Drosophila melanogaster: one gene and its partners. The gene in region 1 interacts genetically with each later gene. Each region holds a gene or a part of one and is shown in the gene's direction. Other genes may lie near its edges. The genes, in order: Spn27A, spz, PPO2 and Hayan.

Region 1 (6,448 bases):
AATCTGGACGAGAGCACCATGGTCTTCAGCGTCGAGTCGCCCACTTCCCTCAAGTACTCGCCGGATGGCAAGCACCTGGCAATCGGCTGCATGGATAGAAACTATCCAGGTATAACAGACCCTAAGCAATAACTTTGTAAAGCCCTAACCCTCCTCTTTCGTACAAGTTCTGGACCTCTGGGAGGTGAGGTCGCCTACGGAGTTCTTGGTCTCCTACCGCAAGCTGTTCTTCAAGTCCATGGGCTACATAAGTTGCATTGAGTGGTCCCACGACGGCAAAGAGGTCATCTGCGGCACTCAGTGCGGCGTCATCATCGTGCTGGCCATGCCCACGCTAAACACCCTGATGCAGTTGCGCGAGCATCGACACACGGTGAAGAAAATGAAGTTTGCTCCCACCCATAAGTATTTCGCATCCAGTGATACGGATGGCAAGATTTTCATCTTCGATGCGGTGCTAAAGGTTCGCCTGCTCAAGTTGGACGGCAGGTCCATAGTCTTTGACTGGCATCCGTGGACTGGAGAGGATTTAGCCGTTGGTAAGATAGTGGCAGATTAATTATTAGAGTATCTGCAACATGAATATTATCTTAACAGCGGAGCGAAGCCCTGCGTCGATCTTCATATTCAACATCCCGCGCCGACAATTTGTGGCTTCGTACAGGCGCAGGGATGACAGAATCGTTATAAAGACACTAACATACAGCAAAATCACGGGCGAGTTGCTGGTCAACGTTATTCGGCGTGGTGAGAACTGCACTGGATCCTTAATGCTTGCTAAAAATAATGTATTCTAATATCTACAGATGATGCGGACCTTGCAGTGTGCGAAATTCTGGTCTTGGCCTCCTTAAACCGCGTGGTTGACTTGATGTCCCATCAGGATCGCGGCACCCTCTTCCTGATGTGGAATCCGGATGGAACGAAAATTGCCACCGGCGGACTGGACGACACCTTTTCGCTGTGGAACTTCTTTCCCACCTATAAGCGCGAGGCGATATTGAGAAAGCAAGAGCAAAAGGCCAAGGACAAGTGCAGCTCCCTGAGCCTGTACAAAGGCATACGGTGAACAGAGCACAGTGATTTTTAATTGTTTATGTTTCTAGTCTTTTATTCAAACCATTTGTGCTTTTCATTATTTATTCAATTCATATTACTTTCATAAAAAATCCATTCTGTTTAACTCTAAAATGAACACAAGAAGATGGGCCTCTCCACCCAAAGTGAAGGTAAGAAAGTAAAAGTCCATTCATTGTTCACCATGTTACAGCGTTGAAATTTGGTAACTAATCACTAGGCTATAAGTATGTAAAGATGTCTATGACGGCACTGGCAGCCTTGGCTCAATATTCGCTCCGTTTGGGTCTTGACTCGCCAATCTGGGAGTGAACCTCCTGCTGGAAGAGGTACTCCGCACTGGCCTCGGCTTCCAGGCGTCGTTTCTCGAGAAGATAGGGTTTGATGACAAGGCGATGGGTGGTGTAGAATATAACAGTCGATCCAATACCGATGGCCATCAGACCAACCGTCGTTGTGGCGAATCTTTTGAAGCCGTTAATGAAACTCATCTGTGGGCGAGAACGGAATTCAATTAATATATGACTTTAGCCAGCAGATTAGGGTTTAGTGTGCGGGCTAACTTTGTGGTTCCACTAGTTTCAGTTACTGCTGGCGTTTCTGCCTCGGTTTTCTTCTCGTTTTTGTACTTCAAAATCAGCGGTTGCCAAATGTAAATACCGCCTAGCAGCCCAATGGCCGTGACCACCATCAATTGCGGAACAGTGACACCACGCGGACGACGAATTTGCATGGCACGTGCGGTTACTTTGGCTATTTATATTTATTTCTCATTAAATGCACAAGTTTCTTTCGCCGGCTGCTGTTACATCAACGCACCATGAGAATTTATTTCAGATCAGCTGTTTTGTTTAGCCGACACTTACCAACACTGAGTTCTATAATAGTTGTCAGCGTGGCCAGACTATCCCCGACACAACTTAAGCTTATTTGAAATTCAAATTTCTATTAATAGCTATTCATAAACTGGCTTGAGTATTTGCAGCGGGCGTGAAAGAAACTGTGACGTAGTTTAAGAATAATAACATTTGCAAACTTTCCTCTTTGATGACTATGCAATAATTCACAAATAGCTGAAGTGGGGAAAGCCTAATAAAGGCGGATATTGTTCGCAACTAATTTGTACAAAATAACAAAATAACATTCATAATGATGAATGATCCTTAAATATTTGTATAGGTTTTTTGGTTAATCCTGTCAATACAGGCATGGAAATTCTCTGAGTGCACTGATGCACTGTATAGTCTAGTCGTTTCCCTTCACTTCCCTCATCACTTAACCACACTCATCACTTTGCGATAATGACGTACGTATGCTTTGGGAGTCCCAACAAAAAAAACACACATGCGCTGCCCCGTCGACGCGGCAGCACAGCAGCAGAGGACGGCGTCAAGAGCGGCTTGAAGCTGGAGCTCGATTTTAAAATGGCCAGCCCGCTCGGCGCACCAGTCACTCTCAGTTGGAACGGCGCGTGAAACGGTTATCGCTCGCTCCACCGGCGCTCTCTCGCCGCTCGCCCCACCAAAGCCCGCATTTAACAGTTGTTTTGCTGCGAATAAGAGGCTGAAAGCAAAGACCCGAGGAAGATCGAGACGCAGAAGCTTAGGGAAGCACAGATGACAAAGATGGGCGGAAATTTGGCAGTGATGCTGCTGTCGCTGTTTTTGAGTGCGTTAGCCACGGGCAACGGCAACTCCATACCGACGACCACGACGCCCCAGGGCGTATTCGAAACCCGTACGGACAAGCTGCCCGGTGGCGCTGCCAGCGTGCCCAGTGGAGCGGGTATCTACGACGATATAGATACCTTTGTGCCCTTCCGGAGCGACTCGCACGATCCGTTCTCATGGCATCTACTGAAGACGGTGCTGCAGAACGAGACAGCCGACAAGAATGTGATCATCTCGCCGTTCTCCGTCAAACTGGTGCTGGCCCTGCTGGCTGAGGCGGCCGGAGCCGGAACCCAGACGCAAGTGGAGCTGGCCAACACGCAAACAGACATTCGATCGCAAAATAATGTGCGGGAGTTCTACCGCAAGACACTTAATTCCTTCAAGAAGGAGAACCAGCTCCACGAGACGCTCAGTGTGCGCACCAAGCTCTTCACGGACAGCTTCATCGAGACACAGCAGAAGTTCACGGCCACGCTGAAACACTTCTACGACAGCGAGGTGGAGGCGCTAGACTTCACCAATCCCGAGGCGGCGGCAGATGCCATCAACGCCTGGGCCGCCAACATCACGCAGGGCAGACTTCAGCAGCTAGTAGCCCCGGACAACGTGCGCAGCAGCGTAATGTTGCTGACCAATCTGATCTACTTCAACGGTCTGTGGCGGCGGCAGTTTGCCACCACATTCCAGGGATCCTTCTTCCGCAGCAAGGACGACCAGTCGCGGGCGGAGTTCATGGAGCAGACCGACTACTTCTACTACACCACCTCGGAGAAGCTGAAGGCGCAGATTCTGCGTCTGCCCTACAAGGGCAAGAACTCCCTGTTCGTCCTGCTGCCCTACGCCCTGAATGGCATCCATGACTTGGTCAAGAACCTGGAAAACGACGAGCTAAAGAGCGCTCAGTGGGCCATGGAGGAGGTGAAAGTGAAGGTGACGCTGCCCAAGTTCCATTTCGACTACCAGCAGAACCTTAAGGAGACGTTGCGCAGCCTGGGTGTGCGCGAAATCTTTGAGGACAGCGCCTCGCTGCCGGGATTAACCCGCGGCGCTGATGTCGCCGGCAAAGTAAAGGTGTCTAACATCCTGCAGAAGGCCGGCATTAATGTGAACGAGAAGGGAACGGAGGCCTACGCAGCCACCGTTGTGGAGATCGAAAACAAGTTCGGTGGCAGCACCGCCATCGAGGAATTCAACGTAAACCGGCCGTTTGTGTTCTTTATCGAGGAGGAGTCCACTGGTAACATACTGTTTGCCGGCAAAGTCCACTCACCCACCACCCAGAACTAAGCCTCTCAGGCGGTTTTATCTTTAAATACGCAATAAATATACAAACAAATGAGAGTCTCTGCGCTTCAGTTAACCTTAATATGATGTGAAAAGTGTTGCAAGTGGATAAGCTTTCTAATACATTTTGCTGAATCCTACAAACGAGAAACGAATCTGTGCTCTTGACCCCTTTTTCAGTAATCGTGCGTGGCGACGATTCCCCCAGCGAGTCGGTTCCCATCTACAGGCCACAACATTCCGCTGGCTGATAAAGCCACTGGTGCTGTCGTTAAATGTTTGTTTTTATATTTATGCCTCGCCCAGGCATGCCACGAACAATTGAAAGCAAAAGGCAGCAATCAAGTGAGAGATGCAAATACCTGCTAACTCTGGGAATGTCCCACGAACGTAACATCGGCAATATCCAATGGGGAGATCGATGGGTAACCGATTGCGCACATAGTCGACGGCAAATAGAACCCATGACTCAGGGGGCTGGCTGAGATGTTGTTCGACTGGGAAATCTTAAGTTTGCGTAGTTAGCCACGTTCTGGTGATCTCTTGAACAAACAAGGAAGCCAGCTAAGCTTGGGAATTTAAGCGCAGCTTAGAAACAAGTATATGATAAAGTTTGTTAGCTTAATACAATTCAATTGCTATTCATCAATGAAATCATTATAAAAGTCCTAATGTTTTCTAGGGCTAAACGATGTATTAACGAAAAGTGTAAACAAGGTCTATTAGTTTAAAAGAAAAAACATATATATATATATATATTAAGCTCGACTAAATGCCCTATCTCTCATGTTTTATTTATCTTTCTGATTCGAAACTCCAGCCAGCTCATCCTTGTAGAGGCGTTCAAGTGATAATCTGAATCAACAGCTTGTAAATATATCGCAGATGTGATCAAGTGCATTGCAAAGTGTGCAATGTTTGCAGTAACAAAAACCCGTTTACAGATAATACGTGAAAGTGGTCATCAAAGTGCATATTTGCTCTGCTTTCGAAAAATCAGCCTGAAAATTGACCGTCTGACTCAGACACATAAGCGAAATACCAAGAAGGGGAGGCCATTAGGCAGCTTATTAACTATAATATTACCGTAAATGATAACAACTCAGCACAAATGTAAAAATATAAATTTCCTCCCTTGGGTATTAACCCGACTTTTAGAACTATGACCATAACGCTGTCAAGAAACTACAAATCTAACTGTTATATGTGATGACTTTGCTTTCAAAGCACAAATGATAGGGTAAACTTAACGGAGAGTACCCACTGTACGATTGTATCATAATATAATAGATCTTCTAAATTAGGTACTAAAATGACTTACCCCCGCTGTTGGGCAGCATGGAAATAGCTGATTGAGCTTGCATTTGGGCCTTATTGAAGCTATTGACAGCTCCAGCGTTGTTCTGATGAAGCGAATTCAGCTGTTGGGGCTGCTGATGGGGATGTTGCTGCTGAGACTGTTGGTATTGCTGCTTGTACTGCGTGGCGAAGTGCGGCTGGTTGGACTCAAAAGATTGGAAGTTTTGGTTATCACCGAATCTCAAATTGGAATGATGCTTCTGCGGCTGTCCATTCATAGGATAACCAGAGGCGTGGTTATTGCCACCGCCAGAGATCAAGGCATGGAGCAAGGCATTCGAGTTGGCATCTGGTCGAGCCTGGCGTTGCTGGCCACGGTTTAGATATTGCTGCTGTGCCTGATGCTTGGCACCGCCATTGATAAGCTTCGAGGTCTGCTCCTCAATTTTTCGCTTCATTACGGCGTTTCGCATTATCACATTGGCATGCGCTTGCAAGTCCTCCTGCGACAGTTGGTGCGGCGCCTGCGTCTGTGGATTATGCTGCGGCTGCTGCCTGGCTGCAAGAGTCTGCTGGACAATGGCCAAGTTGTGGAGATTCTGCAACTGGCTGGCGATGACCGTGCTTGAGAGCATGTCCAGCTGCTGCTTGTGCTGCTGCTGCTGCTGCTGGGTGTTGGTGAACTGCAATACAGCAGTGATGGCCTCGCGATCCATGTCCGTCAAGCGTGGGTTGGCCAACTGCACCAGCAATCCGTGCTTGGATATTTCCCCTGGGAAGTAAACAAACCAAAGAATCATATTGAAAACATGGAACTAACTTTGTTTTCATCATCCAATCGTCACCTTTAGTCAGACGGAGCAGTAGCAATTGGGTGTCGGCCCGGCCGAGGATCGCCTTCAGCTGCAGGCTCGCCAAAAAGGCGGTATGTTGCTGCTGCTGCTGTATGATGAGGTGCTGCTTCTGTTGCTGCTGCTGGTACTGCTGTTGCTGCATTATAAAGTTGGAGATGGCATCATAGCCAACCGCCTGTGACTGTGGCTTAGCCGAAGAAAGAGACCCAATTAGCTTCTGGAAGTTATCAGTCTGCTTGTTGGCAGTCTCGCCAACATTGT
Region 2 (8,960 bases), on another chromosome or scaffold:
TAACTTTAGCCGTTTCGCTGAAAGTAATTAATGAAGTTAGTTAAGGCGGTGCTAACTTAAAATTTTACTGCTAAATGGATTTCAAATTAACATTTAGGATAGTGGAAGCTGAAATTATATACATTAACTTAGCTCATAAAAATACAATTTGGAAACCTCCTAAATATATGCACCACAAGCTTAATAGATCCCTAAAGTATGCAAGTAGATTTAAACAAGTTTGATGCAATCGTAATATATTGAAATGGTTTGTTCAGTTGAGGATTTAATTGATTTCTGAGAATTTTAGATTGTTTAGAACAGATATGTATGGGCATTACAATAATACAAAATTGCATCATCATGCAATTTAGTTATCTACTTACACAGCCCCCCTTCATTGCATTTTATTACGTACTAATTGATAAAGAAATTCTTATGAATCAACAGTGCAGCTGATGTTTCTACGAAATGGCCTCAACTCAGTCATTGGTGCATAATTCGGGGGAAAGGCTATGCTATGAGTAGATATGGCCAAGTAAAATGCATTCTGCTAAGAAGTTCCCGTTTTTCCATGGCGAACGACATCCACTTTGGGCCATAAACATAAGCACACAAGGTAGATCCATTCAGGCACGACTGCGTCAGATGCCGTTTACATGGCGATTACTTGCAGTGTGCGACTTAAAGATGCGGTTTTTTGTCCGCCGTTCTCGGAAATACCAATTGAGTCACCATCTTTCCCAAGCGCCTCAGCACGCTCCAAGGCGGCGACTGGCGGGCTAATTTAAGCGATTCGGATCTGCGGCTCCCATGACGCGTGCGCCAACGGAACTGGCGTTTGCGGCACCCGTTCGGAATATCAAATGTGTTAGAAATATTAGATGGGCTCCAACGTGGGGATAGTTTCATTGGTGGTGGTGCCGAGAGCAGAGCAGTTGTGCTCCGCGAGCTTTGATGCCGAGCTTTGGCCCGGCACCACTTTTACTTTCAGCAGCAACAAGTGCTGGCCGGCACCTTCTCACAGGTCAACTTGACCGACTGTGAGAAGCCCTACACTTGGCTAACATGGGTTTAGCCCGATAGAGAAGGTGGTAATCAACCACCCACTTGCCACAAAGTTTGGTTATTTTCAGCTCGGGGAAATTTCTATATTTTCGGGCTACCTATAAACTTGTTTTCTTTCTGGATTTAAATAAAAGTGATAATTCAATCGCTGCTTCTTTAAGTATACCTAATAAAAAAGCAATAAATCTCTAATCGCGTATGTTCAATAACAAGCGGACAGATAATAGTTAATTACTAAAATGGGTCGACGAAAAGGGCAAATTTGTACATAAGTGTTTATTAAGTACAGTATTCATTATTTCAAACGGAAACTTAATCATCCAAAATGCAGCTTTGATTGACTTCCGCAGATAACAAAGCTCTGACTTCGAGGCATCCAAACATTACTCTGTGGCTGCTCTAACTTTTTCGTAATATTTGTTTTAAAAAATTTTGCGATAACGAAGTTAATTTTTGGTGTCAAATGCCACTCAAACGATATGTACATTTTATGCAAAGCTTTATGGCAACTATGCTGATTAGAATGAATAAAATGTTTGTATGGAATTAGTTTTTGAAAGTATGTTTTTAACTTATGTGTTAAAATAGTACAATTGAGGGTTTGATATTCTTCTTAAAGCTCCAGTGATTTGTATTTGGTTTAACAACAGATGTAATTAAAAACGTTAGTCATTATAGTGTTAGTTTGATGTGCACTTACTTTTCTCCAAGTGTAATATGATTCAGATAATTCCGACTGGTAAAGTTTTTCGTGAAGCAGGCGCAATTAGTAGCACTGCTCGGAGTCAGCTGTGATAAAATCGCGGTCCGCTCGCCCAGACGTCCCGCTCCCTCGCACGACCCTCGCGCTCACTACCCATCCCGCTTCCACCGCCTCTGACCGGCGGCGTCTCGCTCGCGCACAGCGCCCGCTCCCGCTCACACTCTCGCAAGCTAGCTTAAAGCTGCACTTAAGCACTGAGCAATTGTTTGGGGGAGCAGACGAGTCGAGTCGGCGGCCTCTGGGCTCCACTTTTCATTTTCAGTTGCCTCCCAGACGTGCGCTCTCGCTGTCGTGTGTTCTCGATCGCGAGAAATCCAAATCGAAATCGCAGTCGAAATCGAACTTGGTTAATGCTTAACACTCTGCATGCCCGGGAGATATGGTGAAACTCTCGATCTGACCGGAAAATCCCAGCGCGCGTCGCTATAAACACTTAAGATCGGTGGCAGATGGTATCGGGCTTGAGGTCCATAAAAGCGCATTCATCTCGAGCTTTTCGTGTCACTCAAAGACGGCGCACAGAGCCGAAAAGTTGAAGACTCACATATCCTGCGATCAGCTACTTGGATAGCCCATTGCCCAGTTGCAAGCCAAATCGGTTATAAACGATATCAATATCGCGGCATTTCATCAGAGCAACCAAATCGAACCGATCCGAAAACGGTTCCACTAAAGCGGCGAGAGCGAAACTAAAGTGAAAAGCAAACCGACTAATTGAAGTGTCTGTCTGTGTGTCTCGCAAACGTGCAAAGGAAACAAACAAAACGGAATAGCCAACATATCACACAGAGCCACCGCACAAAATATTTATAAATAAATAAGAGGCAACAGTAACACCAGCTACCAGTATAAAGGCCCGGCATTAACATTTAGTCGTGCCAGTTTGTTTATTTTTTATATACGCAAAGCCCATAAAAAGAAAAAAACGCACAGATCACTAAAAAACAACAGCAGCCGGCGCTATAATAACAAAGTTGTAGAAATAAGAAAATTGGTATAAGACGCCACCGATCCGCCAATCACCTGCTATATACTATTACTAATCCCCGACGCAGACGTTCGCCGTCCGCAGAATCTATATATATTTATAAATCCAATTGATTAAGCCCGAGATCGAGCATGATGACGCCCATGTGGATATCGCTGTTCAAAGTCCTGCTGCTGCTGTTCGCCTTCTTTGCCACGGTGAGAAATTTACAATTTTACAAATTTCAAAACAGTCGAACCTCCATAAGGGAAACTTTCAAAAGAAGTTAAAGTTTTAAAATTTAAAGATCTTTGCGTCGAAACAATAATTTATTCCAAATCTATCTAATCTGATAAAAGGTTAAAGTCTCCTTGTCTTCTTAAGACAAGCACTTAAGATCTTAAGACTCCAGAACTTGATTTTTTGTTTATTTGAAACAGGTGCTCGCTTGTTCCAGTTATGAAAGTTCGACTGCATTTCTGTTTTTTTCTGTTCCGTGTTAATCTATGCTTAACATAACTGTCATTTCATTGCAATATATTTCGGGCTATGGGCTTTTTAGCTATTAAGATTTATTTTAGATTTTCCATAGTTGTTCTAGCAGTTCCATTAGCCGAAGGGCAGTTTCAAGTTTAAATTTAGTCACAGACTAGAAAACCTGTTCGCATTGCCAGCGGCAGGTTATGTGCAATTTTCATTCTCTATATGATAAATGCACATCATAGGCATTACAATAATATTAATTGACACAAACAATGCCAGACATTCTGCACACGACTTTGGAAGTAATTTACTGCCGGACAAATTGTATGATCATCTCTGTGAGAAAAGCAATTAGTTCGTATTAATGGCGTCGAATGTTAGAAAATCCGTTTGAAAAGCGCCCGAGAACTTTTGTCTTTCCGGTTTTCCGCGAATTCCGCAGCGGACCGGTTCTAAAGATCGTTTTCAGTTCTAGCTAAATTCCAATAGGTTCACGGAAAACCTAAAACTGTGATGGAAAAACGATCCAATGTTTGCCTTAGTTGCGTCTACGCCAAACACTGATGAACGCGTTTAAAAAAAGGTTGATTGCTAATTGATTGGGAAAAAACATTTCCGAGAAATCGCAAAAGTTCTCAGACAATCAAGTTCAGATGGGTTGGCACCTTAAAGCGGGTTTTCTACATGCTCGTCGAGACCCAATTTTAATTTGGGTAAATTCTGTTGACGATTCCATGGACTCTATTCAAGAATTTAAGCATAATAAAAAGTCTTGACGAGATTAGGGGCTATTATCAAGGCTTATTTATATCACTGCATATACATATATATATAACATAGAAATATTTTAAAGAGTAGCACTAAAAGTGCTGATAATTCTAAAATCGCCAAGCTATTTGCATAATTATGGTCCTCGGATTATCAATACATTAAAAGCAACTATTGGCTTGTTCTTTTATATAAATAACCTTCCGGTTGGATTATGTTGATTTTTATTCAGGATCGGCTTGCCTTTAGATTTTCCAATTATTCAGTCTTTATTGCTTGCGGAAGAGGGACATCCGTTTTCAAGTTGCTAAGCTAGAGGCAACTCTCGAGGGGATTATCAACTCTGATTTTGGACTCTGGCTGTTGTTATATGTATATAGGTTCGGGTCCTAACTCAACGGAACTATAGAATTGCGAGAGAAAACTGCGCTTGCCCGAAAAACAGCTGTTCAAACCTTTTGAATACGCAAATGTAGTGCCCGACAATAGAGAGAGAGAGAGAGAGAAGTCTGGGTTGACAAACAAACGAGCCCGAGCACCGACCCACGAATATATACTCCGTTGTCTTGGCAATGTTGATGAACTGCAAACAAAACTCTCACCTGTATCTTTCAGATAGTTTATATCAATATCGAATTAACGAAGCGACACGAGGCCGAGGTGAGGGCAGAGAAAACAGTGGCAGACTATAAGGCCCTTTTGGCTACCATTAACAATGGCGGACCCGGAAAGTCAGCATCTAATCACTTACAGGTGTGAGCACAGTGTCCCCGAGTGTCCCGAAACAGACCCAGTTGTATCGTTATGCTTAACACCTTAATAGCCTTAATTTGTCTGTGGTGTGGTCAAAACTTCTGAACCGAGACTAAAGTCTATTGTCTTGTCTTTTTATTTCGCCATTTTTGCTACAGTACGAGGCCAAGGAGTATGAACGTATCATCAAAGAGCTTTTTACAATAACCAATGATGAGGGAGTTGTCCTCTTTAATGTAAGTGTATACATAGGCAAATGCATGATTTCTCTGTAAAATGTGTCTTTGATGTGAAACGCAATTCATAGCTTCAAGGACGAATTGGTGCGCTGCTTTCTTATAACTACTCTTCATCCTATATTGCATCCCCATTTCACTGCTCATTTGGTTTCTTATTGGGTTGTGTGTTGTCTTTGTGCTTCCTTTTTTTGCCAATTGGCTAAAGACTAACACGAGTAAATTTTACCCGTACAGACGTCCGCGGACAGTGCACCCTTCATGCCCATACCCACCCAGCACGACGATCCGACCCAGAAACAGAAACAGAATCAGAATCAATCTCCGATACCCGAAACGAACCGCCATTACCATCAGTATCACAGCCTGATCCAACCAGATCAGTACTTCAAAGTGCAGCGCTCCCCGAATGGAAAGCTGAATCTGGTCTTTAACGATACGTTCGTATCTTTGCAGAGGACGGACACGGAGGTGCAATCCGAACAGCCGATACCCCCCCGACATCCATCGGATAGTAAGTACTAAGTATTTTAGCCTATATATGCTCAGTTACATTCGATACCCAAACATGCCTTACAACTAACTACTAAATCGATCCCATACTCACTGGCCAACTGCCTTTGGCGCTTGCCTAATTTTAGCCTTTGTCTTCCCCGATTCCCCCATAGCCAAGTATCGGCCACCACAATCCCCAGCTCGTCCTTTGAGGAATGACACTAAAGAGCACAATCCCTGCGCCAAGGATGAAAGCCAACACCTTAGAAACTTCTGCACGAATGTGGACGACTATCCGGACCTTTCAGGCCTCACACATAAGCTAAAAAACAACTTTGCCAAGTTCTTTAGCAACGATCTTCAGCCCACGGATGTGAGCTCTCGCGTTGGTGGCTCAGACGAGCGATTCCTTTGCAGGAGCATCAGGAAGCTGGTGTACCCAAAAAAGGGCTTGAGGGCGGACGACACCTGGCAGTTAATTGTCAATAACGATGAGTACAAACAGGCCATCCAGATCGAAGAGTGCGAGTAAGTTATAGCTTGAATCTATGATATATTCCATTAGCCTTGCTAATTGCCAAACCTTCCCTTCCAGAGGAGCGGATCAACCCTGTGACTTCGCCGCCAACTTTCCGCAGAGCTATAATCCAATCTGCAAGCAGCACTACACACAGCAGACCCTGGCCAGCATCAAAAGTGATGGCGAACTGGACGTGGTGCAGAATTCCTTCAAGATCCCTTCCTGCTGCAAGTGCGCGTTGAAGACTGGGTGATTCTGGAAAATGGGATTCTCCAGTCGATGGCTGCGACAATGTGATATTGAGGTGAGGCCACGATTTATTCGTACATTAAATTTTAAAAATAGGTACAGAACAGAAACGACTGACTACCAAGAAGTAGAGGATTTCAATGAATCCTTGCGACTTAAGGCGAACGCTTCACTTGACCAACTTGCGCAGGGTCCAGCCGACGGCGTAGAATCCCACCAGCTTTAGGGCCATTCCCTTGCTTTCAGCCTTCACCAAATGCTTAAACTTGTTCTCGAAATTGCCAACGACGCGATCCATCGGAATGAGATAGTATAATGTCTGCAATTCAGAAGTCTTGAAAATATGTTCGAATGCGGATTTTCGAACTGTGCTTTATCAAGTATTGTACTTAAATTCAAGAATAATGTTTCTTGTGATTCGAAGAGTCAAACTTTTCAGACTGAGACTACAACTCTAAATATGTATACAGCTTCATTGACATTATTTCCTTGTTAACTAGACCAAAAATATAAATTGTATCTCTTCTCTTTGCAGCAAGAAGTTTCACCCACCACAGAATGGCAGGCCAAACTGATCAGTGGTCATTGATTTATTCTATAATCTGCTGAATCCACACATAGACCAATGTGCATATTAATTTAGAGCTTTAAGTCGAGTCATTTTAACCATATTCGTGTCATATATTCATTTTTGACTTCCACGTCTAATGCCTAAGCTAGAAATGCAAGTAATTAGTCCTAGAATAAAAACAAAACAAAACACAAAACACAAAAAAAAAAACAAGAAAGATAGAAATAACGATTTGAAAAATGTATGTTAAAAAAAGATAATGTATAATAAATGTATGCAAGTACATGCCAGCAAAGTAAAGTTCTTTGAACCCATCAGCGAGTACCTGGTGGACAATTTATTTGCTTATTAACAATAATTCGGTTCGCCCCGCTGCGCAAACCAATTACACCCTAGTGAGTGTAAACACATTCCCCCAAAGGGGTGGTGGTTGGCTTTCACCGGCAAAAGGATAACATGCATCGACTTCGGCTTCCTGGCGCTGGATTTTTCCAACTGTCAGCGGGGCGTATGCGCGATGTGTCTTGAGGTGCTGGCGCTGGCACATGTGGAAATCAATAGTATTTATCGATTCCCAGACACAATAAACTATGTCAAAGTTAGGCCGAACAATGCGAATGCTTGTGGATTCGTTGTGGGCGGGCAAAGTGCCACAATTTAATTACTATTATTAGGTATCCTTCCCGTTTGGCCAAATCCAGTGTCGTGCCCTGGTCGATTGGGCATTGGCCAGGGTCATCAATCATGCACATCCCCAACAGCCACACACAGCCGCGTCCATATCAATTAGCAACTATCCATATATCTCCGCCCACCGATTTTATATATGTATATATATAATCGTAGAGTTTGGATTGCCCTTTGTAATGTACTTTTTCTCATTACGCCACTGGCTCCGTTGCGCGGATTGTGGTCACTTGGCGTCCCTTCGTGTTCTGTTCTGATTCACTGTGGAAATACACTGGAACTTGTATTCGAACGCCGCATACCTCAGATTAATACCTTAATCACTTAGCAATACTAGTCAGGTTGCACGACAAAGGTGCACGTTTAATACATAATCACAGTCAGCGTTTACACATCTGTATATTAAGTACGCCTGCGTTATCGGTGCTAATTACTTCTAAATCATTTGTTAAGTAATGCTCCATATATAATATTGCTGTATATTAGCTACAAACCATTTCGCGAAACGGAGCGACCCTAGCCCTAATGGATACAATGGAACTAAAAACAAGGATATGGACAACATGCAGGACAGTCAGACAGTGTCGGCGTTTTTGGGTGGGAATGGAGATGGGCTAGTGGGTCGCATTGGTGGCTCGTAATTGCCGCAGCACATTTGCATGGCCGAAGGAGTTAATGGGGGTTGCCTGATTTGTTTGTTGGTAGTACTATTGCCATTGCCAGCCAGCCAGCCAGCCGTGTTGTTGTTATTCGGTTGCTGGCTGACTGGCTGGTATAAATACGTTCTGTTGACGACGCCCGGGCTCCAATACGCCGGTAGTCGCTGCTTTAGACCAGTCAACCGCTGCACTGGCTCCACTTCGAGTCGATTTTTCCAGAGTTCTAGCTCCAGCTCTCGTTTCGGCCCCACATAATGCCAAATTATGCAACTGCCTACTGTTGGCAGTAGCGGATAAAAAAGGCAAACATTCCGGCTAATGAGCAAACGATAAAACCGATAAACCGTTTCCACTTGGTCACCAACTATTCCCTGCGTCAGCGCAACATGTGGGCGCTGTGACGTGCATTCGTAAAAGGCTCATCACCCGGCGGCTCATTGATATGCCCCGAAGTGTCTAGGAAAATCACCGGCAGACTGCGTTAAAAGAGCAGAAAAATCACACGCAATATGCAATAATCAGGGGCTTTCCACTGGACTGACTCATGACATGACTATGGAGGATCGCAATCGCATCTGGACCACGGGCAACATTAACCATGGCTTCTTTGGCGACAATCTGCAGCAGCAGCCGTTGCCCCTGCAGAGATTGCAGACACCAGGTAGGTGCCTTTCGTTTTAAGAATTAAACCATTATATAAACATGTATGTATATTAGTAAAGATTTTATTTGAAATCACTTTTGCCCGTTGCAACAAGATAT
Region 3 (6,733 bases), on another chromosome or scaffold:
TCCCGGCCACGGGCATCATGGTCTTCGGTGAGCAGAGTGTGGATTTTCCACTTGACTTTCCACTTGCCTTCCATATATATCCATATGCGTATCCCATCCATCCATCTATCTATCTATGTATCTATCTATCTTTTTATTGGACATCCGTCCGTGCAGCTTTCATGTGTCATCACAACACCTTCCTCGTTTATCAATCGATGCGCGACGCGACCATGGAGCGCTGGGAGAAGGTCACCCACATTTCGATTGGATTTGCCTGGACGGTGGCGGCCCTCTTCGGCATCGCCGGCTACTCCACCTTCCGCGCTCTTTCCCAAGGTGAGGGATTGACACAAATTGCATTTAATTGCAGTGACAGGCAATTTGTGGATGTTTCCTGTCTGCTGTTTTCGGCATTTACTATACTTGTAGTATTTACTGCTTACGACCGTTCCAATCCCGATGGGATTCGGCTTTCCTTCTTGCAGGCGACCTGCTGGAGAACTACTGCTGGGATGACGACCTGATGAACTTCTCGCGTGTGCTCTTCTCCATATCGATACTCCTGACCTTCCCCATCGAGTGCTTCGTGTCCCGCGAGGTGAGCATCCGGAATCGCAGAGCCAGTTTAGCAACATACTTTTATTTTGGGCCATTCCCCACAGATTGTGCGCGCCCTCGTCCATCGGTTCGTGCTGAAGGAGCCCATCAGCGAGTTCACCCAGGACAAGGACCCCAGCCTGGAGAAGGGGGCCATTATCGATGAGTACTCGAAAGCCATTACCATGGCCATCGTGTTCAGCGCCTTCGTCATCTCGCCCATGACCGACTGCCTGGGTTCGGTGCTGGAGCTGAATGTGAGTAGGATTTTCCATGTCCCTTATCCATGTTCGCCTAGAAAATGGGTTGGGTACCCTTGACCAAAAGAAGGCGTTTCTATATATATGTAAGAATGGTACCCATCCGATGAAATAAGAAACATTTAAAGTCTTACTTTAAAGTCTTTACTTTTACATTTATTTAAATCATTGCGACCATGTGCACTTGTAATCTTCTTTATACTTTCTTTCAATACTAATATTTTTTACAAGTCCACTTGATGTTTATTTATCCCACTTTATGACTTTGTGGTTTTACCTCAATACACGCGATAACTTAAATCCGCAAACTCAGCTGCTTACTTGTGTTTTAGTTTAATCACAATCAGCAAGAGTTTACCCAAAACCTTTTTTAATGTACAAATTAATCATTTATGTTCCTAGTTTCCGAAAGAACACATTTCTTATCATTTATAATGCTCAGACCATTTATCATCGAGATAACTTCGACTAAGCAATTTGCAAACTTAAAGATTATTTATTACGGTTTTCGTTTGCATTTATTTCCGAGTGAATATTTGGCCTAGATGAAAGAGAATAAATTCCAATTCCCAAAGTCCATATATTCAAGTAGAAAGCTATGCAACAAAGAATCCACCAAATGCTTCATTAAATACATCTGAGACTAATTCCGATTTCACCATTCACATTTGCCAGACCAAAGGGAGAACCGTATGGCCAAGTTTATTATTATCGTCCGTAGCCATTTGCCCCTTGTATTCCAGTCACGGGTATTGGCCACAACGCCAATCCCAAACGGCATCTACAAATTCTGGCCGGAACCCGTCTTTGTATTTGCCATGCAAATTTATGCCCCACCCATCAGCCAGCCCATCAGAACATCAGCCCGTCAGCCCATCAGTACATTCAACAATCCACCCATTTCAGGGTCTCCTGGCGGCCATTCCCCTGGCCTACATCCTGCCCGGCCTGGCCTACATTCAGATGGAGCCGCACGCCCTGCTCAGCCGGGAGAAGCTGCCCGCTCTGGGCCTGGTGGTCTTCGGAGCCCTGGTGACCATCTTGGGGGCGGCGGTGCTCCTGCCGGGTCTAATGGGCGGCGACTGCCGATCGGACATTGTGATGGGTTACTGCCGGCAGGAGTTTCAGAACACCACCTCCTCGAACTAAGTTAACGGAACGGAAGTCAGCCCACGATGTGGGGCGCGCGGGTTGGGATCGCATTTTTATGGTTTGGGTTTTTGGGTTGAAACTTCTGATTTGACCTTCGGTTAATACAGCTGCACCACGTCGCATCGAAAGAAACTTGTACCTGAGTCCCAGACGTTCAAAGTATCTGCGTAAGTAAGTAGTAGGCACAGTGTTGAATTGGATTAGTGGATAGCGGATAGCGGATGTGTGATACGGGCGAACCTCAGTACAAAGGCCAGGCATTCTCTCCGATCGAGTAACCCATGTATATTTGCACCGGATAGTCGTTTAAAGTGTACATTTCGTTGGATCCCCGTTGTTGATGTCGATATTGTTGAAAGTAGTGAAAGTTCCTCGATATATAAGTGTGTGTGTACTCCGTACTCTGTACTTTGAAGCCATCAAGTTGAGCAAGCGATTTGAATTGAATTGAATCGAAAGAAACGAGCAAAGGCAAACTAAACCGAACTAGAACTAGATGTTATCCGTAGCTTTAGCGTAGTCTGAAACTATTTGGGCACCAATATACACATGCAATCCTTAGAGACAACCGACTCCCCAAGTTGAGAAGTGAATCAAAATCGAAAACGAAATCGAACAAGTATTATATGTATGTACCGAGAACTATTTGTAACTATGTATGCCCCGACGTTACCGGATCGTATTCCCCAGTTTTATATGTATGTATATGTATACAAGGGTAGATAAAAATGCGCTTGAACCGAACTAAAATCAAACTACAATATATCCCCATCAACACATCGATTTGAACAACAGTTTTGAGTTGTTAACGGCACTGAATTCTGTTTTGAATTGCATATGTACACCGAACACGATCGAATATTTATATATACAGAAACATAGATATATTTTTGTACAACTCTTGGTTTATACTGCACGATATTATGTAAATACATGTGTATGCATTTTTGGATGTGATTAAAGTCTTTACACTCACACAAAAGCCATCACCTCTTACTTTCTCTTCGGGCTGAGAGATCGGAACCAAGCTGAAGACCCCACAACTCTATATTCTAAGAGCTTAAACACTACATATCATGGCCAAGGAACACGGGACATGCCCAGGGCTTTTCTGAGATACATTTTACAAGATCTAAACAACTAACCAACTGAACCTATCGCTTTTACACAACGAATACGAGAACGGAAACGGAAACAGCAGCATACAATTTCCACAGACTTCCTGTATATACACGCTATATATATGTAGATCCGCTTGTCGTACGATATTGCTCATCTCTTCACTCGCCAAATATCTCGTTGTATCTCTCTTTTTAGCGCTATGCTAAATAAATATATGTATTGTATATCAAAGCAGTAGTAGGGAATTAGGGACGAATTGATCGATTATAGCCGAATTGTAATAACTATTATTGCCGTATTATGCATGTAGCTACATATATATACATACTATTATATTAAATTGTTTAGATGTGATGCTATCTGACCGGAGGATCGTGTGCGTAGAGAAGTTTTGATTTACAACGCAGGCATATCCCAGAGATAACAAAATCCGATTTCATTCCAATAGTATATATGTATAGATAAGCTAAAGCAAAACCAAATGAAATACTCTTGAAATAATAAAACTGCATTTTAGAAATATGCTAAAACAACACTGCGGTTTCCATACTATATCCTTATCGCCGCAATTTGTCGACAATTTCAATTCTCAGGCGTTCTTGTGGTTTTCAAAACCGATACTAGTGCCTTCGAAGTTTTGTATAAAATGTGCAGTTCTTTCGGTGAATAGTCACAGTCGTGAAGTTCCCAGACTTCCAGTCACATTCCCCATTTAGTTTGCTCCGCGATCCAGCAGGTCCTCCCTGACATCCCATTGAAAATGGCCGACAAGAAGAATCTCCTCCTGCTTTTCGACCATCCCACCGAGCCAGTGTTCATGGACAAGGGCAAGAGGGTGACCGTGTTCGATGTGCCCGACTCCTTCCTGACCGACCGCTACCGACCCATCAGCAACGAGGTGCAGAGCCGCGTCGGCGACAAGGTGGAGCAGCGCGTTCCAGTCCGGGAGATCTCCATTCCCGATCTGCGGATCCCCATGTCCCTGGGCCGGGACGAGCAGTTCTCGCTGTTCCTGCCCAAGCACCGCAGGATCGCCGGCCGCCTGATCGATATATTCATGAACATGCGCTCCGTGGACGACCTGCAGAGCGTGGCGGTGTACGCCAGGGATCGGGTCAACCCGGTGCTCTTCAACTACGCCTTGTCGGTGGCGCTGCTCCATCGTCCGGACACCCAGGGCCTGGATCTGCCATCCTTCTCGCAGACTTTCCCCGACCGCTTCATCGACTCGCAGGTGATCCGCAAGATGCGGGAGGAGTCTTTTGTGGTGCAGCCCGGTTCCCGGATGCCCATCACCATTCCCAGGGACTACACCGCCTCCGATCTGGATCCCGAGCACCGGCTGTGGTACTTCCGCGAGGATCTGGGCATCAACCTTCACCACTGGCATTGGCATCTGGTCTACCCCTTCGAGGCCTCCGACCGCAGCATAGTGGCCAAGGATCGTCGTGGCGAGCTCTTCTACTACATGCACCAGCAGGTGATCGCCCGCTACAATGCGGAGCGGTTCAGCAACAACCTGGCCAGGGTTCTGCCCTTCAACAACCTGAGGGATCCCATTGCCGAGGGCTACTTCCCCAAGATGGACTCTCTGGTAGCCAGCCGCGCGTGGCCACCGCGCTTCGAGAGCACCAGGTTGAGCGATCTCAACCGGGAGTCCGACCAGCTGAATGTGGAGATTGGAGATCTGGAGCGTTGGCGTGATCGCATCTACGAGGCCATTCACCAAGGATTTGTCATGGATGTGAGTTGTTGGTGGGTTTTCCATTAACTAAATAACATGCCATATTCCCTTTCAGGAGCGTGGCAACCGGGTGCCATTGGATGAGGCGACGGGCATTGATACCCTCGGCAACATGATTGAATCATCCATTCTGTCGCCCAACCGAGTGCTGGTAATAAGTCCTTACCCTTAGTAAATTATTCTAGGGATTAATCCTATTGCTCCCCTAGTATGGTGACCTGCACAACAACGGACACACCTTCATCTCGTACGCCCACGATCCGACCAGCAAGCACCTGGAGTCCTTTGGCGTGATGGGTGATGTGTCCACGGCCATGCGCGACCCGGTCTTCTACAAGTGGCACTCGTACATCGACCGCATCTTCCAGGAGCACAAGTCGCGCCTGCCCGCCTATACCGAGAACCAACTAAACTACCCGGGCGTCTCGATCGCGGGCATCCAGGTGGACACCAATGGAGGTCGTCCCAATAATCTGACCACCTTCTGGCAGCAGTCGGACGTGGACATGTCCCGTGGCTTCGACTTCCTGCCGCGAGGTAATGTCTTCGCCAGGTTCACCCACCTGCAGCATCTGCCCTTCACCTATACCATCAGTTTGAACAACGATAGTGGTGCCCAGCGTTTCGGCTACGTGCGCATCTTCATGGCGCCGAAGAACGACGAGCGTGGCCAGCCCATGCTGATGCGAGATCAGCGCTCCATGATGATCGAGCTGGACAAGTTCGTGACTTCGCTGAACCCGGGACCCAACACCATCCGCCGCCGCTCCACGGAGTCGAGCGTGACCATTCCGTTCGAGCGCACCTTCCGCAACCTGGATGCCAATCGTCCGGCGGCCGGCACTCCGGAGGAGCTGGAGTTCAACTTCTGCGGCTGCGGCTGGCCCAACCACATGCTGGTGCCAAAGGGTCTGCCCGAGGGACTGCAGTGCGTGCTGTTCATCATGGTGTCGAACTATGAGAACGACAGGGTATGTTAGCTGGCTAGTAAATCAAGGATATTTTTGACAATTATCTCCACCTCCAGATTGACCAGCAATTGGTGGGTCGGTGCAGCGATGCCGCTTCCTACTGTGGCGTCCGTGACCGTCTTTACCCGGATCGCCAGTCCATGGGATTCCCCTTCGACAGGTTGCCCCGCAGCGGAGTCGACCGCCTGGTTAACTTCCTCACGCCCAACATGAGCATCGTGGACGTGAACATCCGCCACGAGAACCGCACCGTGCAGCGCCCAAACTAGACGATCCGCACCTGATTCGCTTTCCCGATTCGCCCTGACCCGATTCCATGACCTCGCCCACTTCTAGATATACAACTCTTAGCAATCTATTGCATCTTTATTGAGCCGCTTAATAAACAAGACATCATGGCATTCCACAATCCCACTTTTGTTCTCAATTATTGTGGCTCGGCCTCCGGGCGAGAATCTCTCGCTGATTAGGCTTATCAGCCGCCCGGGAGAAGCTTTAAATGCCAGCTCCACGGCCGGAGCACCTCAGTTCGAGCAGATCCGGTGTTGAGTGCGAAAGTGAAACCGATTCCCGAGGAGATGGGCCTGCTGCTGCTTCTGGTGCTGATAGCGGGCATTGGCGTAAGCACTGTACCGATTAAATAATCTATGGGTCCACAAAGATCCCACAAAAAGATGTGGTCTTTAGATAACTTTAAATCATAATTTTGCGTGTTTGAAATATGTTTCATTTAGATGCGTGTCAGTTTCTATATAGTTTGAGGATACTTAGAAGACCTAGACTAAACTAAGCCTGTAATAGCAATAATATTGTAAGTGAATTTGCTGCTTTTAATTGATTGTCATTTATTTTAGTGCGCAACTGCAGCAGCCAACATTGACCTGGAGGCCAAGACGTTTGTGAAT
Region 4 (7,952 bases), on another chromosome or scaffold:
GAACATCGAAACAGCGACGTATTCCCTTATCAAAGTCTGGCAAAAGGTTGTGTCGAAGGTGGGTTCCGTGGAAGGTTCGTGCCATGAGCATAAGTCGTACAATCATACATGTGATTAGCTTATAATTACTGCAAGCTAGTTCAGCACTCACAATCAATAAGCGTAAGCGGCTCTATCCAAACTAAACAGCATTCTGTCCTTATCAGAAACAAATCCCCAACTCAGATAGTTTAGGAGGTTTTCGATATCAGCTATAAATACCCCTCGTACTGAGTGACAGAACGAAGATTACAGTCGCCAAAAAAAAAAGGTGAATCAACCGATCCAACCTTTCCATGTTATGTTTTCCGTTGGATGGTGAAATACTGCCTTGAAGAAAAAAATAATCTTGAGTTTTCCTCACCCACTTGGCCCTCCAATGCCAGGAGTGACTGTAGTTCATGTCTAGCATCTGTACTCAATAAGTTGGTCAATGGCTGCTGGTTTATTGTAATCAGAAAATCATGGCGAAGCTCATTCATTTACATTCTCCATTAATTGCAGCGAATTAAGATGCCATTGAAGTGGTCCCTGCTACTCGGCACTTTTGTGCTCATCAGCTGCTCCTCCGTGGAAGCAGCCGTCACAGGTGAGTTCCGATCTCAGCCAGGTCACATCAAGTATTTGCCCGACTCGAATCTTGCGTTTGTTTCAGTGGGTCGGGCCTGCAAGGTGACGGATACCATGCCCGGTATCTGCAGAACATCCTCCGATTGTGAGCCCCTAATCGATGGCTACATCAAGTCGGGAGTCCTGACGCTCAACGATGTGCCCAGCTGTGGCCTCGGCGCTTGGGGTGAGATCTTCTGCTGTCCCACCAAGCCGTGCTGTGACAATAGGTAATCCGCGAATTGCTTCCATTGGGATCACATAGAAATGGGTTGTTTGCCTTTGCAGTACCATAACAAGCGTTTCCACAAGCTCCACCACAAGCACAAAAGCTCCAATGACCAGTGGTCGTGTCGATGTGCCCACGTTCGGAAGCGGTGATCGCCCAGCAGTGGCAGGTGCTTACTCTTTTGATCAGATCACTCCTAGAGTTCCTCTACTTATTTCCAATCCCACGATATAGCCTGCAAGAAGATTCGCGAGCGAAAACAGCAGAGGAGCGGCAATCAATTGGTCATACACATCGTGGGCGGTTATCCGGTTGATCCGGGTGTATATCCCCATATGGCGGCCATTGGTTACATCACTTTTGGCACCGATTTCCGATGCGGCGGATCGCTAATCGCCAGTCGCTTCGTCCTGACCGCCGCACATTGTGTCAACACCGATGCCAATACGCCGGCCTTTGTTCGCTTGGGAGCTGTGAACATTGAAAATCCAGACCATTCCTACCAGGATATCGTCATAGTGAGTCACTGTGCTTATGCATTAAGTTATAGCCATTCTGATCGATACCATATCTCAGCGAAGCGTTAAGATCCATCCGCAGTATGTGGGCAATAAGTACAACGATATCGCCATTTTGGAACTGGAACGTGATGTCGTCGAGACGGATAACATCCGGCCCGCTTGTCTCCATACGGATGCCACCGATCCGCCATCGAACTCCAAGTTCTTTGTCGCCGGTTGGGGCGTCCTAAATGTAACCAGTGGGTAGCACAAAAAGTTCCATATCCTCCACTTCCACTAATGGCTAACCATCCGCAGCTCGGGCGCGATCTAAGATCCTGTTGCGCGCTGGTCTGGAGCTGGTGCCTCTGGACCAATGCAATATATCCTATGCGGAGCAGCCCGGTTCCATAAGGTTGCTCAAGCAGGGCGTGATCGATTCGTTGCTGTGCGCCATTGATCAAAAGCTCATCGCCGACGCATGCAAGGGCGACTCCGGTGGGCCGCTCATTCATGAGCTCAACGTGGAGGACGGCATGTACACCATCATGGGCGTCATCTCGTCGGGATTCGGATGCGCCACCGTCACACCGGGACTCTATACGCGTGTCTCGTCCTATCTGGACTTTATCGAGGGCATTGTCTGGCCGGACAATCGGGTGTAAAGTTGGGAAAAGTAAAGTTTTTGTTTTTTTTGTATGTATATTATTTCTATTTGGGATCAGGACTGCCTGATCCATCGCAATTGGCAAACACTCATCTGTGATCTCTATGAGCACCGCGATCGAACCATTTAATACCAATAAAGTAGATACGTTTTAAGATATAATCAATCGGTACAATATTATTTCTGGCAGTTCGGTTTCCAGAACTCTGTGAAGTGATTTTTCTGGTTCTGTTTAATTTTAGAGGGATTTCTGGGTCACCACTTTTATTGAATTGCTGCACTGTATAAAAAAAATGGGGAAATACAAACAGAATGCATTTATTTCAGAAAGATTTGTCATAAGAAATTTAAATTTTAAGCATATGTTTCAGACTATAAGTTGAAAAGGACTTCTTGGGTCACCACCTAGGTCGCAACCTAGGCAAGAAAGTAAGTATCTGGGTCACCACTTTAATTAGAGAAGAATTATACAAAAAAAAAAAAAACAAGATTACTGCAATTGAAACTATATATATGGTAAGTTCTAAAACACGATTCTGTGACACAATTATACTCGACTTTTAAAGGTGTAAATATCGGGGTCACCAAGCGCAGCATAGACCTTACGCGGTATCCTTTAGTCCATACCGCTCGCCTGTTGCTTACCCACTCGCTAATTACAGGCTGCCTTTGTGCTTTGTGTGCTCTGGCTTCTGATCGCTTCGGATCGTTCTGCGATTCTGCGAAGTGGTGGAATGGGAAACCGGTTCGCCGCTCAGCGGGAGAGGATCGGCTCTGGGTGCTATCAGCTGCTGGGTCCGGCGCTTCTTGGTCGACGTCTAAATGGGCCTCATCGGTTCCAGCTCCAGCTCCAGCTGGGGCTCAGAAGCTTGGCTTCAGTTGCTTGGGCGATGCGTTGCTGAGCGGTCAGAGCCGGGAAAATAGCCAGCAGATTCCATACCGCCGCGATTTGTGATAGCCACCGGTTTTTAGCTTTATTGACTCTGCTGGTGTGCTTTTTGCGGTGTTTTTTTCTTTATTTTTTATTTTTTTTTTTCGTAATTCCCTTGGATTTTGTTTTGTTTATGTGGTATTGAATTAAATTGTATTGTATTGTGCGGTGCCCGATTGCCATAGTCACCACAGTGCTCGACGCACTCAATAAACGACATCGATACGTAGACGTACTACTCCCTTATCAGAGACCGAAAAAAGGTCGTGTCAAAGGTGCGTTCGATAAGGCGGACGTCGGTGTACAGTGAACAGTGGACAATGGACATTGGGATTGCGGGATGTGGGGATGTGGGGCTATGTATTGCATGTTCTACTTTTGATTTCGTCGTGTTTACAATGGGCAATTACTGCGGAAGGCCGGAAGCTGATTAGCAATCGCATACCTATTTAATACAATTTCATTTGGGCCGATAACAGGTGATGTCATGACACTTTTGCATTGCTTCAATCGGATATATATGATTCAGTTGAACTGCAGACACATTGACGACTCTCTGCTCAATTGAGCAGCATAATTGTCAGGTGTTACTTTCGTATCGGTTATTACCGACGTAGCTGCGATATCAGTTGGCAGTACACGTCTTTAGCCGGTGGTAAAATCCCAGCGGCATGCCTCCCATGAATCATCTGATCTCACCTGGCGGCGCTGCTGGTGAAATGCTCGTCGTAATCGGCAAACACAAACTTTCCATCAACACAAAGTCTCTCAAATGAAATCAATCAAGTCTGGCTTACTACAATCGAGCAGTTCATATGGAGAATGCTTTTGTGGTGTTCCCATATTAAAAAAAAAAAAAAATCGTAAATGGGTCAATGGCAGTGGATGTGGATCGGTTTAATCAGCTGAAAGTCGAGTCGATTGAAAGAAACAGATCTCGTTTGTTTTTCCCTTACCATTTCGACGAGGGCTTCCCCTGTTGTGAAAATGATGTTTTCCATTTTCGGTTTTGATAAGGCTGATAAGCGTTACCAAGTAGAATGGGATTCACTAATGCTTTTGGGAATTTCAGCTGACCGATGGCGATGATCTCGGCGAGAAGGTACTTCCTTCTGGGTCTCCTGGTGCTGACAACTTCTGCGTATGTAACAGTTGGGGATGGTATGTAGGATGTCTTGCGGCGCGTACACTAGATCCTTGCCAGCTGGCCGCATTTCTCGTTGCAGAGGGCGATCCCTGCCAGGTGAGGTCGGACATACCGGGAATCTGCCTCTCCTCCTCAGCCTGCGAGAACATCAGAGGATATTTGAAGTCGGGCACGCTGTCCACCAGCCAGGTGCCGAGTTGTGGTTTTGGCGCCCGCGAGGAGATCATCTGCTGCCCCACCGTCGCCTGCTGTGCCACTGAGTAAGCGTGTCCTTGTCTCCTTGGCCTCTGCGCTCTATTGTCCTGTTTTTTGTCCTCCTGTTTGTGCACCATATATATGTGTTTGTGTGTGTCCCGCTTGTGCTGTGTGCCCACCGATGTTGCATGCCCCGGTTACCGGCGTCCAACGCCAGACTAACACCTCTCACTCCCACAGTCGAGGTCGTGAGGTCCAATTCCATGCTACGAGCTCCGAGCGCAGCAGTTTACCCGAACCCAAGCGGGAACCAACACCAGAACCGGAGCCACTGCCTCCAACGACCACCGAGGGGAAAAGGGAGCGGGAAAGTCGGCTGGACGAGAATCAGAACTTCTTTGACTTCAACAAGCTGCTAAGCACCACAGTAAAGCCGCAGAAAACCCACGAGTCCTTGAAGTTGCCCACACAGGAGTCGATGAAGACGCCCACTCACGAGTCCATGAAGATGCCCACTCACGAGTCAATGAAGTTGCCCACACACGAACCCATGAAGTTGCCCATCCAAAGCGTTGGAGCTTGGGGCATAGCTCCTTCGAAGACTCAACCCATTGCAAGCACCCAGAGATCTTTTATGGAACCGGAGTGGGGCCGTGAGCCACGGATTGTGAACCGTCCACTGACCACGCCTCGATCACGACCCCAAAGACCGAATAATTCCAATTTCAATACCAATCCAAGCCCCAATAATAACAACCTCATACATTTGGTCAACGATCGGCTGCGGGAGCAGGGAATGCAGATTGAGCCTGCTCGAGAAGTGCCCATGGTGTTGCAAACCACGCCCACGCCCACACCCGCACCCACGCCCACGCAATTGATCGATCCCTTTGAACCCTACCGATTTCGGGGCCAGGACAGAGACAAGGATACCCAGCCCCAGGAACCCTGGAACGATGTCAGCAATAATCTAGACGCGGATCCAGCTCCCAGCATCTTCAATCCAGCCGAGACGCGGTTTGTCTGAGCATTCTTTTGGCATGGACATCAGTTGGCCTCAGCCAGGGAGCCGCATGCAGTCTCTGTCTCAGGTGGAAACCATCGTGAGCCCAATTTTAATCGCTGATATACCTTGTCTTTCGCAGGCCAACGACGCCCAATCCCAATCCCTCCCGCGTCAATCTTCCCGAGAAGGAGCGACCGTCGGTGGCAGGTGAGTTGCGCATTCTTTGGAATATTTTATATGAAAATATCTTTGGAGATATATTATATACAATATATATTAAATTTCCTATCATCTGATGATAGCGTGTGAGAAGATCCGATCCGGTGGAAAGCCCCTGACGGTGCACATTCTGGACGGCGAACGGGTGGATAGGGGCGTCTATCCCCACATGGCGGCCATTGCGTACAACTCCTTCGGGAGCGCAGCGTTCCGATGTGGTGGATCGCTCATCGCCAGTCGATTCGTCCTCACAGCGGCTCACTGCGTCAATAGTGACGATAGCACACCCAGTTTCGTCCGTCTGGGTGCGTTGAACATCGAAAATCCCGAGCCGGGCTACCAGGACATCAATGTGGTTGGTATCGCCATGTGACACATGGTGCGAGATAACCAGTTGAACTCACTCACTTCCATTGGCAGATTGATGTTCAAATTCATCCGGACTATTCCGGCAGTAGTAAGTACTACGATATCGCCATTCTGCAGCTGGCCGAGGATGCCAAGGAGTCCGATGTCATCCGTCCCGCCTGTCTCTACACGGATCGCAGTGATCCGCCAGCGAACTACAAATATTTCGTCGCCGGTTGGGGTGTAATGAATGTGACCAGTAAGTTGTGTGTGCGTAAACTGCAGGATTGGATTGTGTTCGATGGTGTCTTTACAGATCGTGCCGTATCAAAGATCCTGCTGCGGGCGGCTCTGGATCTGGTGCCGGCCGACGAGTGCAATGCATCCTTTGCGGAACAGCCGAGTGCCAACCGGACGTTGAGAAGGGGCGTGATTGCCTCGCAGCTGTGCGCGGCGGACAAGAATCAGCGAAAGGACGCCTGTCAGGGCGATTCCGGTGGACCTCTCATCCTGGAGATTGACGACGTCGACGGCACCTACTCGATCGTAGGCGTAATCTCCTCGGGCTTCGGCTGCGCCACCAAGACCCCGGGCCTCTACACACGCGTCTCCTCCTTTCTCGACTATATCGAGGGTATCGTGTGGCCGTCGAATCGTTTCTGAGGCGTCATTTGATCTGCAATAAATTTAGTTTGAACGGATCGGATGGTGTTTCCCATCAAAAGTGTTTGATAAAGGTATTTTGTCTTTAGACAAAGTTCGACACAATTCAGTGAGTGTCATTAAAGAAGCCATAAGGGTTGTTCATTCAGTTCCTCAAAATGTTAGAATCGATTTTATTTTATATAATAGTGTAGTATAATAGTGTAGTATAATAGTGTAGTATAATAGTGTAATAGAAATTCAAACATCTGAGGCAACTAAGAGGTATCATAAGTGCCAAGCACTTTACCCACTGACGTTTTGCAGCAGCCCTGGTTTCGGGACAGCTGTCAAACTATCGCTGTCTGCGCCTCACCCGCTCGTACGTAAACAGAACTGAGAGCGCAAAAGCTCGCTGCGCGCGGCATTGCCAGGTGTGGCATTCGAAAGTTGCGACAAAAGCTGCTTACTGAGCTTTTGCAGTCAGCTGTTCGCCGCCGTTACAAAGTGCTGCCGGCTTACTGCGGCCAAACAGCCAGCCAAACACCACCCACCACCCACCACCCACCGACCCACTGGCCCCGTCCGCTCGCAGCAAACCAGCCCCCGCTCTCCCCACAAGGCCGCACTCCTGCGGGCAGCAAAAGTGGGAGCTGCTTAAATGGCGCTGCCAGGACTCCTCGGGCTTCAGTTGGTCGCGAGACTGCGAAGCTGTCGGTTTGCCTGCTCAGCGGTGAAGGTGCATTCCTAACGCACATAAAGTCTCGAATCCGTTGGAATTTGAACACGATTACCGTTAGGCGTTTGAAGTGTACCGAATCGAACTAAACTAAACTGAACTAACACAAGTCCCGAGTTCGCGTCGTGTTTGTTTATTTACTTTTATTTTTGTTACATTTTTTTTTTGAGTGACCACCGCCCGAATTCATGAGTCCGTCGGCCTGACCTGACCCCAAAAAGTTGAAACTTCCACCAAACAGTTGCAATCGTAAATGTAAGTCGATCTTTGTGTGCTTGTGCTTATCTGATGGACAGTGACTGTGTTTATCGTACGCCCAGTCCACCCACCATATGTATAGCCACTATCTATTTGGGTGGCATGTACTAACACGGTGGGAAATTGATTCCGGCGGCACATCTGTTTCCACATCGTGCCCGGCGATAACGTTTCCTGATCCGTTCGAACACAGCCCGGACTCGGGCGTAGGCGCACGCGGACCACACAACAGGTGCCAAGGCACCGGGACTAATGATTCCGTACTCCGTATTCCGTGCTCCGTATTCCGTATTCCGATTCCTGACACCCCGCCCCCGCGCATCCAGCAAATCGGCTAAGTCTGGCTAAGCCAACTTGACAAATGAGCCATGTCCTGGCATTCTCGCCGGGATTTCGGAATTACCTTTAGCATTCCCGGGAAAT

The links.
Region 2: of Spn27A (region 1) and spz, changing one suppresses a phenotype caused by changing the other (phenotypic suppression), as found in Drosophila melanogaster (one study listed by BioGRID).
Region 3: of Spn27A (region 1) and PPO2, changing one enhances a phenotype caused by changing the other (phenotypic enhancement), as found in Drosophila melanogaster (one study listed by BioGRID).
Region 4: of Spn27A (region 1) and Hayan, changing one suppresses a phenotype caused by changing the other (phenotypic suppression), as found in Drosophila melanogaster (one study listed by BioGRID).

Annotation. Positions count from the first base shown.
Region 1 is NT_033779.5:6,669,421-6,675,868, reverse strand, and holds Spn27A (serpin 27A), read left to right. Parts: upstream 1-2,521; 5' UTR 2,522-2,693; coding exon 2,694-4,037; 3' UTR 4,038-4,804; downstream 4,805-6,448. Other genes in the region: cort (cortex), read left to right, coding at 1-109, 168-539, 598-747, 807-1,069; CG34310 (uncharacterized protein), read right to left, coding at 1,344-1,563, 1,641-1,810; cup, read right to left, coding at 1,555-1,568, 5,356-6,105, 6,179-6,448.
Region 2 is NT_033777.3:27,063,179-27,072,138, reverse strand, and holds spz (spatzle), read left to right. Parts: upstream 1-2,068; 5' UTR 2,069-2,929; coding exon 2,930-2,995; intron 2,996-4,643; coding exon of another isoform or gene 4,644-4,781; intron 4,782-4,939; coding exon 4,940-5,017; intron 5,018-5,254; coding exon 5,255-5,531; intron 5,532-5,658; coding exon 5,659-6,040; intron 6,041-6,107; coding exon 6,108-6,285; 3' UTR 6,286-6,336; exon of another isoform or gene 6,337-6,450; coding exon of another isoform or gene 6,451-6,579; exon of another isoform or gene 6,580-6,703; intron 6,704-6,816; 3' UTR 6,817-7,051; downstream 7,052-8,960. Other genes in the region: CG43935 (uncharacterized protein), read right to left, coding at 6,451-6,579; Nep5 (neprilysin 5), read left to right, coding at 8,748-8,859. UniProt on the Drosophila melanogaster protein: The activated form, spaetzle C-106, acts as a ligand for the Toll receptor. Binding to Toll activates the Toll signaling pathway and induces expression of the antifungal peptide drosomycin.
Region 3 is NT_033778.4:9,041,761-9,048,493, reverse strand, and holds PPO2 (prophenoloxidase 2), read left to right. Parts: upstream 1-3,784; 5' UTR 3,785-3,873; coding exon 3,874-4,857; intron 4,858-4,912; coding exon 4,913-5,008; intron 5,009-5,066; coding exon 5,067-5,828; intron 5,829-5,884; coding exon 5,885-6,097; 3' UTR 6,098-6,233; downstream 6,234-6,733. Other genes in the region: CG13743 (uncharacterized protein), read left to right, coding at 1-27, 157-318, 468-580, 645-836, 1,746-1,988; Ance-4, read left to right, coding at 6,407-6,448, 6,683-6,733. UniProt on the Drosophila melanogaster protein: This is a copper-containing oxidase that functions in the formation of pigments such as melanins and other polyphenolic compounds.
Region 4 is NC_004354.4:18,478,739-18,486,690, reverse strand, and holds Hayan (hayan), read left to right. Parts: upstream 1-2,918; 5' UTR 2,919-3,250; intron 3,251-4,047; 5' UTR 4,048-4,054; coding exon 4,055-4,136; intron 4,137-4,201; coding exon 4,202-4,382; intron 4,383-4,557; coding exon 4,558-5,334; intron 5,335-5,462; coding exon 5,463-5,530; intron 5,531-5,558; exon of another isoform or gene 5,559-5,625; coding exon 5,626-5,897; exon of another isoform or gene 5,898-5,962; coding exon 5,963-6,149; exon of another isoform or gene 6,150-6,206; coding exon 6,207-6,553; 3' UTR 6,554-6,708; downstream 6,709-7,952. Other genes in the region: psh (persephone), read left to right, coding at 553-628, 695-878, 937-1,046, 1,112-1,395, 1,454-1,637, 1,696-2,042. UniProt on the Drosophila melanogaster protein: Serine protease which, by converting prophenoloxidase 1 (PPO1) into its active form, plays an essential role in the melanization immune response to physical or septic wounding.